Linked DNA regions of Macaca fascicularis. The protein of the gene in region 1 purifies or fractionates together with the protein of each later gene. This does not show direct contact. Links are inferred from orthologs where the notes say so. Each region holds a gene or a part of one and is shown on either strand. Other genes may lie near its edges.

Region 1 (6,197 bases):
AGTCCCTTTACTTTTTTTTTTTTTTTTCCTGAGACAGGGTCTCACTCTGTGGTCCAGGCTGGAGTGCAGTGGCATGATCATAGCTCACTGCAGCCTTGAACTCCCAGGCCCAAGCGATCCTCTCACCTCACCCAAGTAGCTGAGACACGCCACCACGCCCGGCTAATTTTTAAATTTTTTGTACAGATGGCCATCTTGCTGTGTCGCCCAGATTGGTCTTTAACTCCTGGGCTCAAGCGATTCGCCCACCTCAGCTTCCCAAAGTTCTGGAATTACAGGAGTGAGCCACCAAACCCCACCCAGAGTCCCTCCTTGAACACCTCCCAGCTCTACCTGGCATTTAGCACAACTTACAAGTATTTCATTTCCACGTCATTCTTTTCTTTTACTTGACTTTTCAATTGTCTTGTTTCCGACAGGGATGGGCCCAAGTCTCTTCGCCATGAGCTCTGGGGCCTGGCAGACAGTAGGTGCTCAAGAAATGCATGATTACATGAATTAACAGAGAAGGGAATGAGCTAGTGAGTCCAGCTGAATCCTGCCCAGCCCTGCCCTGACTCCCCCCCTCACCCCCTCTTCCCGAGAGGAAAAGGACCCACAGCAGGGGAGATCTTCCCCTACCCCCGCAACCTCACTATTGCTAGATCTGGGTTCAAATCACAGCTGTGAGCCGGGTGCACTGGCTCATGCCTGTAATTCCAGCACTTTGGGGAGGTCAAGGCAGGTGGATCACTTGAGGTCAGGAGTTTGAGACCAGCCTGGCCAACATGGTGAAACCCTGTCTCTACTAAAAATACAAAAAACTAGCCAGGCGTGGTGGCCTGCGCCTGTAGTCTCAGCTACTCAGGAGGCAGAGGCACGAGAATTGTTTGAACCGGGTAGAGGCTGCAGTGAGCCAAGATTGTGCCATTCCAGCCTGGGCAACAAAGAGAGACCCTGTTTAAAAAAAAAAAAAAAATCACAGCTGTGTCTTTTTTGTTTGTTGTTTGAGACGGAGTTTTGCTCTTGTTGCCCAGGGTGGAGTGCAGTGGCATGATCTCGGCTCACTGCAACCTCCACCTCCCGGGTTCAAGCGATTCTTCTGCCTTAGCCTCTGAGTAGCTGAGATTACAGGTGCCTGCCCCATGCCCAGCTATTTTTTTTTTTTTTTTTTTTTTTGTAGTTTTAGTAGAGATGAGGTTTCACTATGTTGGCCAGGCTGGTCTGGAACTCCTGCCCTCAGGTGATCCACCCGCCTTGGATTACAAGCGTTAGCCACCACGCCGGACTTTTTCTTTTTCTTTTTCTTTAGAGACAGGGTCGGGGGCGCAGTGGCTCAGACCTGTAATCCCAACACTTTGAGAGGCCGAGGCAGGTGGATCAGGAGGTCAGGAGTTCAAGACTAGTCTGGCCAAGATGGTGAAACCTCATCTCTACTAAAAATACAAAAATTAGCCGGGTGTTTGGGCACGTGCCTGTAGTCCCAGCTACTTGGGAGGCTAAGGTAAGAGAATCGCTTGAACCCGGGAGGAGGAGGTTGCAGTGAGCCAAGATCGTGCCACTGTACTCCAGCCTGGGCGACAGAGCGAGACTGTCTCAAAAAAACAAAACAAAACAAAACAAAAAAACAAGAGATAAGGTATCAGCTGTGATGCCCAGGCTGTTTTCGAATTCCTGAACTCAAGTGATCTGCCTGCCTCGGACTCGCAAAGTGTTGGGGTCACAGGCGTAAGCCACCGTGCCCAGCCCTTGGCTGTGTCTTTTGGCAAGTGACATCCATGTGGGCCTCAGTTTCCTTTTCTATAAACTCCTACTTTACGTGGAGACAGGTGACCCTCGCCCCACCCCTGGCTGTTCCATCCTTAAAAGATGTGGACGGGGAGGCGCTGGGGTCCACTTGCTTCCCCACCCATCATCACAGCACCATCACGACCCACGAACAACAGAGCTCCTTCGAGCTGGCCCATACTGGGGAGCCCAAAAGGTCCAGGTTCGAATCCTCCCGACTCCCTTTTGGGTCTTGGAGCAATAACCTCAACAAGCCTGACTAAAATAGGGTACCCGCGCCCGCCTTCCCCGGACGGAGCGATCCCTTCTCCACTGGTCTGCAAATGGGGCCACCGTTAGAGCCAGGTGCGAGGAACAGCGAGTTTATTGCAGGTTCCAACCGGGAACCCGGCACCCATCGTTGGTTGGGAAGGTACGCCCTCCGCGCAGAGGCTGAGCTTGTTCCGCGCAGGCGCAATGCTTCCGTCCCCTCTGGTCTCGCCTCTTTCGGGGCCTGGTCTGGGAAATCACGGATGCGCATGCGCCTCCAGCTCTCGGGATGGCGGAGGACGTGGATTCCGAACAGGGGCAACTGCCGACTTCCCCGTGGGAAGGAAGGGAGGGAAGCGGCAGGGAGAAGGCGCATGCGCAGTAGCACGCGGCAGCTTCGCATGTTCCCGCTAAACTCGCCTCTTGCGCGTGCGCCGCGCTGGCCCAGCGCCCTCGGGGGCAGGAATGGCTGGAACCCCGGGTTCTAGCCAGAGTCCCCGGTGCGCAGCCAGCAGTTGCGCGCTACCTGGCCCGCCGAGGGCCTGGCGGACGGGCTGAACTGCAGCAGCTCGGCGATCAGGGCCTTGCAGCGCTCGGAGAGCTCGAGGCCTTCGGGGTAGAGCACGCCGCGCTTCTGGCGCCGGGGCAGGCCGGCAATGTCCGAGTCGTCGAAGGGCATGCACCCGGTGACCATGACGTAGAGCACGACGCCCATGCTCCACACATCATACTTCTTGGGGTCGTAGGGTATGCCCAGGAGCACCTCGGGTGACGCGTAGGCGGCTGAGCCGCAGTAGGTGGTGCTCAGGTCTGGGTAGCCATGGGCCTGGCGGCCGAACCCGAAGTCGGTGAGCTTGACGCGGCGCTCGTCCGGGCTCAGCAGCACGTTTTCGCACTTGAGGTCGCGGTGCACCAGGTGGTGATCGTGCAGGTAGCGCACGGCGCCGGCGATCTGCGCGAAGAGGTCGCGCGCCTGCACTCCGGGGATGCGCCCGTTGCGCTGCACGGCTTGCAGCAGGTCGGTGGCAGCCGCTTCCATCACGATGTACAGTTTCCCGTTGCACACCTCGATGAACTCGAAGACGTGCACGATGTGCGGGTGTCGCACGCCCCGCAGGATGGACAGCTCTCGCGGCAGGAACTTGTTGACGAAGTCCGGGGGCGCTCGCCGCCGGTCCACCACCTTGATGGCCACGGTACCCTTGTACTTCTTGGATGTGGCCACCTTCACCTTGGAGTAGCTGCCCTCTCCAATTGTGCGGCCCAGCTTATAACCGAGTTCGCTCAGAAGTTTGTCTCCCGACATGGTGGCGCCTGGGGCGCACGGGGAGCAGGAGGCGGCTGCTGTCGGGGGGCGGCCGGACTCCAATCTCGGGTCTAAGCCATGGCGCTTGGCACCTACACCCCCGCACCCCCATGTGCCCACTGCCAGGCATTGGCCGCTGTTGTGCCTTTTATTGCCCCGTAACAATTTTTGCCTTGTGAAGTGACCACGGGCGTCACTCCGCCTTAGGGTGGGGGTCCAGGACCCCGCCCCGGGGCCACCCTAGCCTCCCTGCTTTGTGACTCATAATCACCTTGAATGGTCAGTTTCCGATGAGAGGCCACTAGCAAGGGATACCCACCACCACCAGGGAGCAGCATCCGTTCCGGGGATTGGGGTGAGTCCGAATTCGAGCAGCAGCTGCTCCCCAACATCACGTACCCAGCCCGTGACTACGTGGAGCCCTGGGCTTCCCGTAGAGTCCCTAGACGGAGCGAAAACGGGAAAAGGGGCCTTAACTGGGGCCCCTGGCTCCCTCGGGCGCTCGGAGTTTCTGACTGGCCTGCGCAACACCCCAGAGGCAAGGCGAACGCGAGGGCCTTTAATGCAAGAACCAAGGCAATTCACACCCTGTCTGGGAGAAAGAGGGAATAAAGACTCCTCAGCTACAGCCTGGCAGCGTATTCCGACCCAGGGTCCGCCGCCGGAGCTTTCCTGCGCTGTCGCGTAGTTACACTAGTGTCCGAGGCTTTCCAGGGCTGCGGCGAGCCAACTCGAGTGCTTCCGCCACACTCATCATGGCGGTGGCAGTATGTCACTTCCGCCTGGGACCGGAAGTGTGGAATACTGCCAGCATGGAGATGCCGAAGGTGAAGCAGGACATGCCCCCGCCGGGGGGCTATGGGCCCATCGACTACAAACGAAACTTGCCGCGTCGAGGACTGTCGGGTCAGTATCACTCTGGGCCGGGGTCTCAGAGTGGGTACTCGGGGCTCGGGGGCGGGGTTCCGGGGACACAAGCGGGCCTCAGTTTCCCTGGCGGTGAGACCGGAGGCTGAGCTCGAGAATCCTCCATAGCTTCTGTAATAACGTCAAGTGCTGCAGTTTGTTGAGCGCTTTCCCAGCTCCGCTTCCTTCTCGTAACAGCCCAGGAAATCGGTCCCTCTAATTATTTACATTTTACAGTGGGTTAAACTGAGGCATAGTCTGCGCTCTGGCCCTCAGCCACCCTTGGATTTCTCAGATGGGGAAACTGAGGCCCAAAAGAGGCCACGGCTCCCCAAGGCAAGGCTGAGGCCGCAACCTGGAACTTGGAGGGAATTTACAAGATGTTCTATAAAGTGGTTCCCTGCAGGCAGCCCCCGCCTCCATGGTGTCCCAGGAATCCGTATTCTTAAAGTTTTCAAATTGTTTTCATTTATGTATTTTTTTTTTGAGACGGAGTTTTGGTCTTGTTGCCCAGACCGGAGTGCAATGGCGCCATCTCGGCTCACCGCAACCTCTGCCTCCTGGGTTCAAGCAATTCTCTTGCCTCAGCCTCCCGAGTAGCTGGGATTACAGGCATGTGCCACCACGCCTGGCTAATTTTGTATTTTTAGTAGAGATGGGGTTTCTCCACGTTGGTCAGGGTGGTCTCCAACTCCCAACCTCAGATGATCGGCCCACCTCGGCCTCCCAAAGTGGTAGGATTACAGGCGTGAGCCACCATGCCCGTCGTAAAGTTTTCAAATGTTTTAAGTAACACGTTAAATTTTGTTATGGGGCTCAACACAGAAAAATGAAAAAGACTTGAAAGGCACCCATACTCAGTCCCCAGGGTTAATGGACAAATACAAACTTTTAAACGTAATTTAAGGGTGAATACATACATTCCTTTTTTTTTTTTTTTTTTTTTTTTTTTTTTTTTTTAAAGACAGGGTATGGTTCTGTTGCCCAGGCTGGAGTGATCTCTTGGCAACCTCTGCCTCCTGGGCTCAAGCCATCTTCCCACCTCAGCCTCCCAAGCAGCTGGGATTATAAGCCTGCGCCCAGCTTTCTGTATTTTCTGTAGAGATGGGGTCTTGCCATCTTGCGCAGGCTGGTCTTGAACTCCTGGGCTCAAGTGATCCACCCACCTCAGCTTTCCAAAGTTTTCATGCCTATGGGACTATAGGCATGAGCCACCGGGCTCAGCAGAATGCATGTCTCTTAACAAATTAAACTTTACATTTAAATTACATGTTATGCACATTATGCCTCAATTTTAACACATACAAAAAATGAACATAGTAATTAAAAATGTAATAATTCAGATAGTAGAAAAGTCAATGTGAGGTGAAAAGCCCTCCCCAGCTGCTTCTTGGTTTTTTGTCTTTTTTTGTTTTTGTTTTTTTTATAAGATGGAGTCTCGGTCTGTTGCCCAGGCTGGAGTGCAGTGGCGTGATCTCGGTTCACTGCAAGCTCCGCCTCCCGGGTTCATGCCTCAGCCTCCCAAGTAACTGGGACTACAGGTGCCCGCCACCACGCCTGGCTAATTTTTTGTATTTTTAGTAGAGATGGGGTTTCATCGTGTGAGCCAGGATGGTCTCAATCTCCTGACCTGGTGATCCGCCCGCCTTGGCCTCCCAAAGTGCTGAGATTACAGGCGTGAGCCATGGCTCCCGGCGGTTTTTAATTTTTTATTTCTACTTTTTGTAGAGACAAGGGTGCAGCTATGTTGACCAGGCTGGTCTCAAACTCCTGGGCTCAAGTGATCCTCCAGCCTCAGCCTCCCAAAGTGCTGGAATTACAGGCTTGAGCCACCGTGGCCAGCCTCCTCTTGTTTTTCTTGTATCCAAGAACTGAGATTGGCAGACTTTTTCTTTTTTTTTTTTTTTGAGATGGAGTCTCGCTCTGTTGCCCAGGCTGGAGTGCAGTGGCGCGATCTCGGCTCACTGCA
Region 2 (5,611 bases), about 9.0 Mb from region 1:
TCATGCCTGTAATCCCAGTAATTTGGGAGGCCAAGGTGGGTGGATCACTTGAGGTCAGGAGTTCCAGATCAGCCTGACCAACATGGAGAAACCTGGTCTCTACTAAAAATATAAAATTACCCTGGTGTGGTGGCGCATGCCTGTAATCCCAGCTACTCAGAAGGCTGAGGCAGGAAAATCTCTTGAAAACGGGAGGCAGAGGTTGCAGTGAGCCAAGATCGTACCACTGCACTCCAGCCTGGGCGACTCCATCTAAAAAAAAAACAAAAAAAAAACAATAGCTGGGCATGGTGGTTTCTGTGCACCTTTAGTCCTAGCTAGTTGGGAGGTTGAGGCAGGAGGATCTCTTGAGCCTGGGAGGTCAAGGCTGCAGTGAACCATGATCGCACCACTGCACTCTAGTCTGCATGACAACAAGACCTTGTTCAAAGAAAACCAAACAAAATAAAAACAAAAAAACAAGCATTTGCTGAGCCCCTGCTTTGCGCCAGGCCAAGTTCCTGGTTCTGGAGACAAAATGGCAAACACATTCCCATATTTAGAGAGCGGGGCGGGGCAGTACCCAAAAACGTGATAAATAATTGTCATATGATGTGAGTGGTGGCTGGTGTTGAGGCAGGGAATTCCAGACGGGGGCAGCGGGAGGTTGCCATCAATAGGAAGGTGGTTAGGGAAGGGGTCCTCGCTAAGGCAACATGGAGCCCAGATGGTGCGGGTGCCATAGAGTCAGCTGTGGGGGGATCTGAGGGAAAATCATTCCAAGTAGTTGGAACAGCCAGTGTGAAGGCCTTGAAGTTCAAGAAAAAAGCAGGCTCTGCAGAGCAGAGTGGCTCCTGCCTGTGGTCCCAGCACTTTGGGAGGCCAAGGCGGAAGAGTCGCTTGAACCCAGGACTTCAAGACCCGTCTGGGCAACATGGCGAAACCCCATCTTTACTGCAAATACAAAAATTAGCTGGGCGTGGTGGTGCACACCTGTAGTCCCAGCTACTCGGGAGGCGAGGTGGGAGGATTGCCTGAGCCCAGGGAGGTCGAGGCTTCAGTAAGTCGTCATTGGGCCACTGCACTCTGACCTGGGCGACAGAGTGAGACCCTGTTTTTTTGTTTTTTTTCTAAAAGAAAAAAAAATGGTCTCAAGAAAAGGTGAGAAAAGTGAGGGGCCAGTGTGGCTGGAAGGAAGAGTTAGCAGGGGAGGTGCTGGGGCAGATTGTGTAGGGCCTACGTAGGCTGTGGTGACAACCTGGACTCTGCTCTGAGTGAGATGGGAGCCGCCAGGGTTCTGAGCGGAGGACGGAGGGACCGGACCCCACTTGGGTGTGCGTCGGCACCTGTGGGGGCAGGGGCGGAAGCTGGGAGACCAGGGCACGGGAGGTGGAGGCATACTTTTTCCCGGGGCCATCTCTGGTGCGGGGATTGGGTATGGGGCTGGGGGTAAGGGACAGGCCGCTCCCCAAAGTTGATAGGCCGCCCCTGCCCGCAGGCCCGGGTGGAGCGCATGGAGCAGTTCCAGAAGGAGAAGGAGGAACTGGACAGGGGCTGCCGCGAGTGCAAGCGCAAGGTGGCCGAATGCCAGAGGAAGCTGAAGGAGCTGGAGGTGGCTGAGGGCGGCAAGGCAGAGCTGGAGCGGCTGCAGGCCGAGGCACAGCAGCTGCGCAAAGAGGAGCGGAGCTGGGAGCAGAAGCTGGAAGAGATGCGCAAGAAGGAGAAGAGCATGCCCTGGAACGTGGACACGCTCAGCAAAGACGGCTTCAGCAAGGTGTGCGGGGCGGGCGGGGCGGGCAGTGCACTTGCGCAGCCAGCGAGTATGCAGCCAGGACGCATGCGCACCCAATGCCTGGTCAGGGGAGGACCGCGGCGGTGTAGTTGAAGAGTGTGGTGTGGGGCAGAGAGCTGAGGGACGGACGGGGGCCACGTGGGAGGGGGGACAGGCTTGGAGGGCCGGGCGGATGAAACACCCCACCGGTCCCCTCCTCTGATCTGCCCCAAGGCCCATGCCCACGCTCCCGCCACCTTGATGCTCATGGCTTCGTCACCACCTCCGCCGTGGATGGGATGGGCGCTGCGGCCACGGCCCGCCCGGCCGCACTCGAGGCGCTCCGCAGCCTTGCCCCAGCCCACTCCCCCTCTCACCCTACCACAGAGCATGGTCAACACCAAGCCCGAGAAGACAGAGGAGGACTCAGAGGAGGTGAGGGAGCAGAAACACAAGACTTTCGTGGAAAAGTACGAGAAACAGATCAAGCACTTTGGTGAGTGGGGCGTGTGAGGTTATGGGGGGCAAGGTCGGGGCAGGCCCTTTGCCTCCAGGGCCCTCCAGCACCTTGCCAGCATCTTCCCACAGGCATGCTCCGCCGCTGGGATGACAGCCAAAAGTACCTGTCAGACAATGTCCACCTGGTGTGCGAGGAGACGGCCAATTACCTGGTCATCTGGTGCATTGACCTAGAGGTGGAGGAGGTGAGTGGAGCTTTCCCCAGGGCTGTGAAAAGGTGCTGCCCTGAGGCCGCCACTTGGTAACACTGTGCCTGTTCTCCCTGGCAGAAATGTGCACTCATGGAGCAGGTGGCCCACCAGACAATCGTCATGCAGTTTATCCTGGAGCTGGCCAAGAGCCTGAAGGTGGACCCCCGGGCCTGCTTCCGGCAGTTCTTCACTAAGATTAAGGTAGGGTCCCCTGAGCTGCCAGGTGGCTGGAGGCCCCCTCCCCAGGGAACCAGCCCACAGCGCTCTGGGTAAGGCCGACTCCTGTCCACTGGGACTCAAGCCCCTCCAATCACCGAATCCTAGATCAGGAGAGGGCGGGGCCAAGGAGGGGGAGAGAAGTGGGCGGATGCTGCCAGACTTTAAAAGTGGAGGTCAGGCCAGGCTTGGTGACTGAGTCCTATAGTCCAAGTCTTTGGGAGGCTGAAGCAGGAGGACCACTTGAGCTCAGGAATTTGTGAGCTGTGGTGTTCCACTGCACTCCAGCCTGGGTGACAGAGCAAAACTGCATTACAAAAAAAAATGGGAGCACTAGGATGTGCTGGAGGTCCCCATGTGGATATGTGGGTAAAGGACAGAGGTGAGGGTGCCTCTAGGGCTCTGGGCTTTTTTTTGTTTTTGAGACCCAGTCTTGCTATCACCAAGGCTGGAGTGCAATGGCGTGATCTCAGCTCACTACAACCCCTGCCTCCTGGGTTCAAGCAACTCTCATGCCTCAGCCTCCCAAGTAGCTGGCATTACAGGCGCCTGCCAGCCTCTCGGGTTTTTAACTTGCGCACCTGGAGGAACAGGGGTACCCTTACCAAGACTGGGGAGACCAAGGACAAGGCAGGCTGGGAGGTGGCCGTGTTGAGTTAGAGGTGCCCATGCAGGGACACTGAGGACACGAGTGTCTCGGATCTGCAGTAGAGCAGGGCTCCCAAGGAGGTGGTCTTTAGCAAATGCCAGATGAGGTCCCTGGCAGGGGAGCCCAGGCCTTGGGAAGCCCTTTATGTAAGTCAGGAACAGACTTAGGGAGCCCTGGGGCACCTCTGAGGAGCTGTGGCTGGAGGGTCCTGGGCCCCCAGTCCCTCCTGAGCACTGGGCCAAGTCTAGTGAGCACTGCCCGACCCCCATAGACAGCCGATCGCCAGTACATGGAGGGCTTCAACGACGAGCTAGAAGCCTTCAAGGAGCGTGTGCGGGGCCGTGCCAAGCTGCGCATTGAGAAGGCCATGAAGGAGTATGAGGAGGAGGAGCGCAAGAAGCGGCTTGGCCCCGGCGGCCTGGACCCTGTCGAGGTCTACGAGTCCCTCCCTGAGGTGCGGCTCCCCAGCCCAGGCGGGCGGCAGGAGGACCCTGAGCGGGACCCCCCAGGGCACAGGGACCCAGCCCCTGACCCCAGCCCTTCTATACCCCCAGGAACTCCAGAAGTGCTTCGATGTAAAGGACGTGCAGATGCTGCAAGACGCCATCAGCAAGATGGACCCCACCGTGAGTAACCCCCACGTCCCATGCCTTTCCAGCGGGCCATGTGTCTCCCCCAGCCCTGTGTCCCAAGTCTCTGAAGCCAGTTGGTGAAAGTGCCCCTTCAAGGCTTCTCCAAGGACTAAGGGGGGTCGTGTTACCTTGGCACACACCCACATTTATTGAGCACCTACTGTGTCCCAGCATCCAGCAGATAAATGCTGAGCTTTGAGCGTATGTCCCTTGTGACTGATAGTCACTGTTAATGTGACTGAGTCCAGCCTCAGTTTCCTTATGCAAACCATATTTTCTCTCAATATCAGCTCACAAAACGTGTGGGGAAAGGAGCTGAGCACACGGCAGGGGCTGGTAAATGCTGGCTGTTAATTGGATTTTGTCTGGTTTTTTTTTTTTTGAGACAGAGTCTCGCTCTGTCACCCAGGCTGGAGTGCAGTGGTGCTATTTCTGCTCACTGCAAACTCCGCCTCCCGGGTTTGCACCATTCTCCTGCCTCAGCCTCCCGAGTAGCTGGGACTACAGGCACCCACCACCATGCCCGGCTAATTTTTTGTATTTTTTAGTAGAGACGGGGTTTCACTGTGTTAGCCAGGATGGTCTCAATCTCCTGACCTCGTGATCCGCCCGCCTCAGCCTCCCAGAGTGCTGGGATTACAGGCGTGAGTCACTGCACCTGGCCATCTGTTTTTTTTTTTTTGACAGACAGGGTCTTCCTCTCTCACCCAGGCTGCAGCCTCCACCTCCCAGGCTCAAGTGATCCTCCCACCTCAGCCTCCCCAAGTACCTGGGATTATAGGCTGACACCATGACATCTCACTGATTTTTTTTCTAAAAATTATGTTTTTATAAAGAAGGTCTCACTGGCTGTATTTTTGGAAGTGGCAATAGACGTTGAATCTAAGTAGGACACGATTGACCCTATTCCTACCACTTGGCTCACTGGTTGGTCACCCTGGTTTTCTCGTCTGTAAAATGGGTCTAGCTGCAGGACTGGCCATGAGTTTCTAGAAGCTTCTATGGGCATAGCCATCTAGACCAGCTTCTGCAAACCGCAGCTCCCAGACTCACTGCCTGTCTTTATAATAAAGTTTTATTGCAACAAAGAAGCCATGCTCAATTGTTTCACTGTCATCTACAACCGATCTTGCTCTGCCACAGAGTTGAGTCGTGACGGAGACCATATGGCTTGCGGAAGCAGAAATATTTAGTCAGTCCCTTTACTAAAAAAATTTGCTGGCTTTTGTTCTAGATTGCACTATCTAAATTTAAAATAAAGTTAAATAAAATTTAAAGTTCCAGCTGAGTACGGTGGCTCACGCCTGTAATCTCAGCGCTTTGGGAGGCCAAGGCAGGCGGATCACCTGAGGTCAGGAGTTTGAGACCAGCCTGGCCAACATGGCAAAACCCCATCTCTACTAAAAGTAAAAAAATCAGCCAGGCATGGTGACAGGTGTCTGTAACCCCAGCTACTTGGGAGGCTGAGGCACTTGAACCTGGGAGGTGGAGGTTGCAGTGAGCCGAGATTGCACCATTGCACTCCAGCCTGGGTGACAGAGTGAGACTCCATCTCAAATAAATTGGTTAAATATCAATAGGCAGGAAGCCAGCTTGGGGATGTGCAGGGGATAATGGGGACCCCTGGGTGGTGGCCCCACCTCATCTGCCTGCC

What was found. Proteins that work in one complex are often made in the same cells at the same time.
Region 2: the proteins of TSSK6 (region 1) and CDC37 purify together in Homo sapiens (affinity purification with mass spectrometry; 4 studies listed by BioGRID and IntAct, with this or other methods). This does not show direct contact. The link is inferred for Macaca fascicularis from reciprocal best matches to the Homo sapiens genes TSSK6 and CDC37.

What each region holds. Positions count from the first base shown.
Region 1 is NC_088393.1:19,950,970-19,957,166, forward strand, and holds TSSK6 (testis-specific serine/threonine-protein kinase 6), read right to left. Parts: upstream 4,051-6,197; 5' UTR 3,323-4,050; coding exon 2,501-3,322; 3' UTR 1,740-2,500; downstream 1-1,739. Other genes in the region: NDUFA13 (NADH dehydrogenase [ubiquinone] 1 alpha subcomplex subunit 13), read left to right, coding at 4,135-4,228. UniProt on the Homo sapiens protein: Serine/threonine-protein kinase component of the sperm flagellar doublet microtubules. May act as a regulator of sperm motility by mediating phosphorylation of sperm doublet microtubule proteins.
Region 2 is NC_088393.1:10,956,980-10,962,590, reverse strand, and holds part of CDC37 (hsp90 co-chaperone Cdc37), read left to right. Parts: intron 1-1,477; coding exon 1,478-1,753; intron 1,754-1,984; coding exon 1,985-2,246; intron 2,247-2,338; coding exon 2,339-2,454; intron 2,455-2,538; coding exon 2,539-2,661; intron 2,662-3,596; coding exon 3,597-3,779; intron 3,780-3,879; coding exon 3,880-3,951; intron 3,952-5,611. UniProt on the Homo sapiens protein: Co-chaperone that binds to numerous kinases and promotes their interaction with the Hsp90 complex, resulting in stabilization and promotion of their activity. Inhibits HSP90AA1 ATPase activity.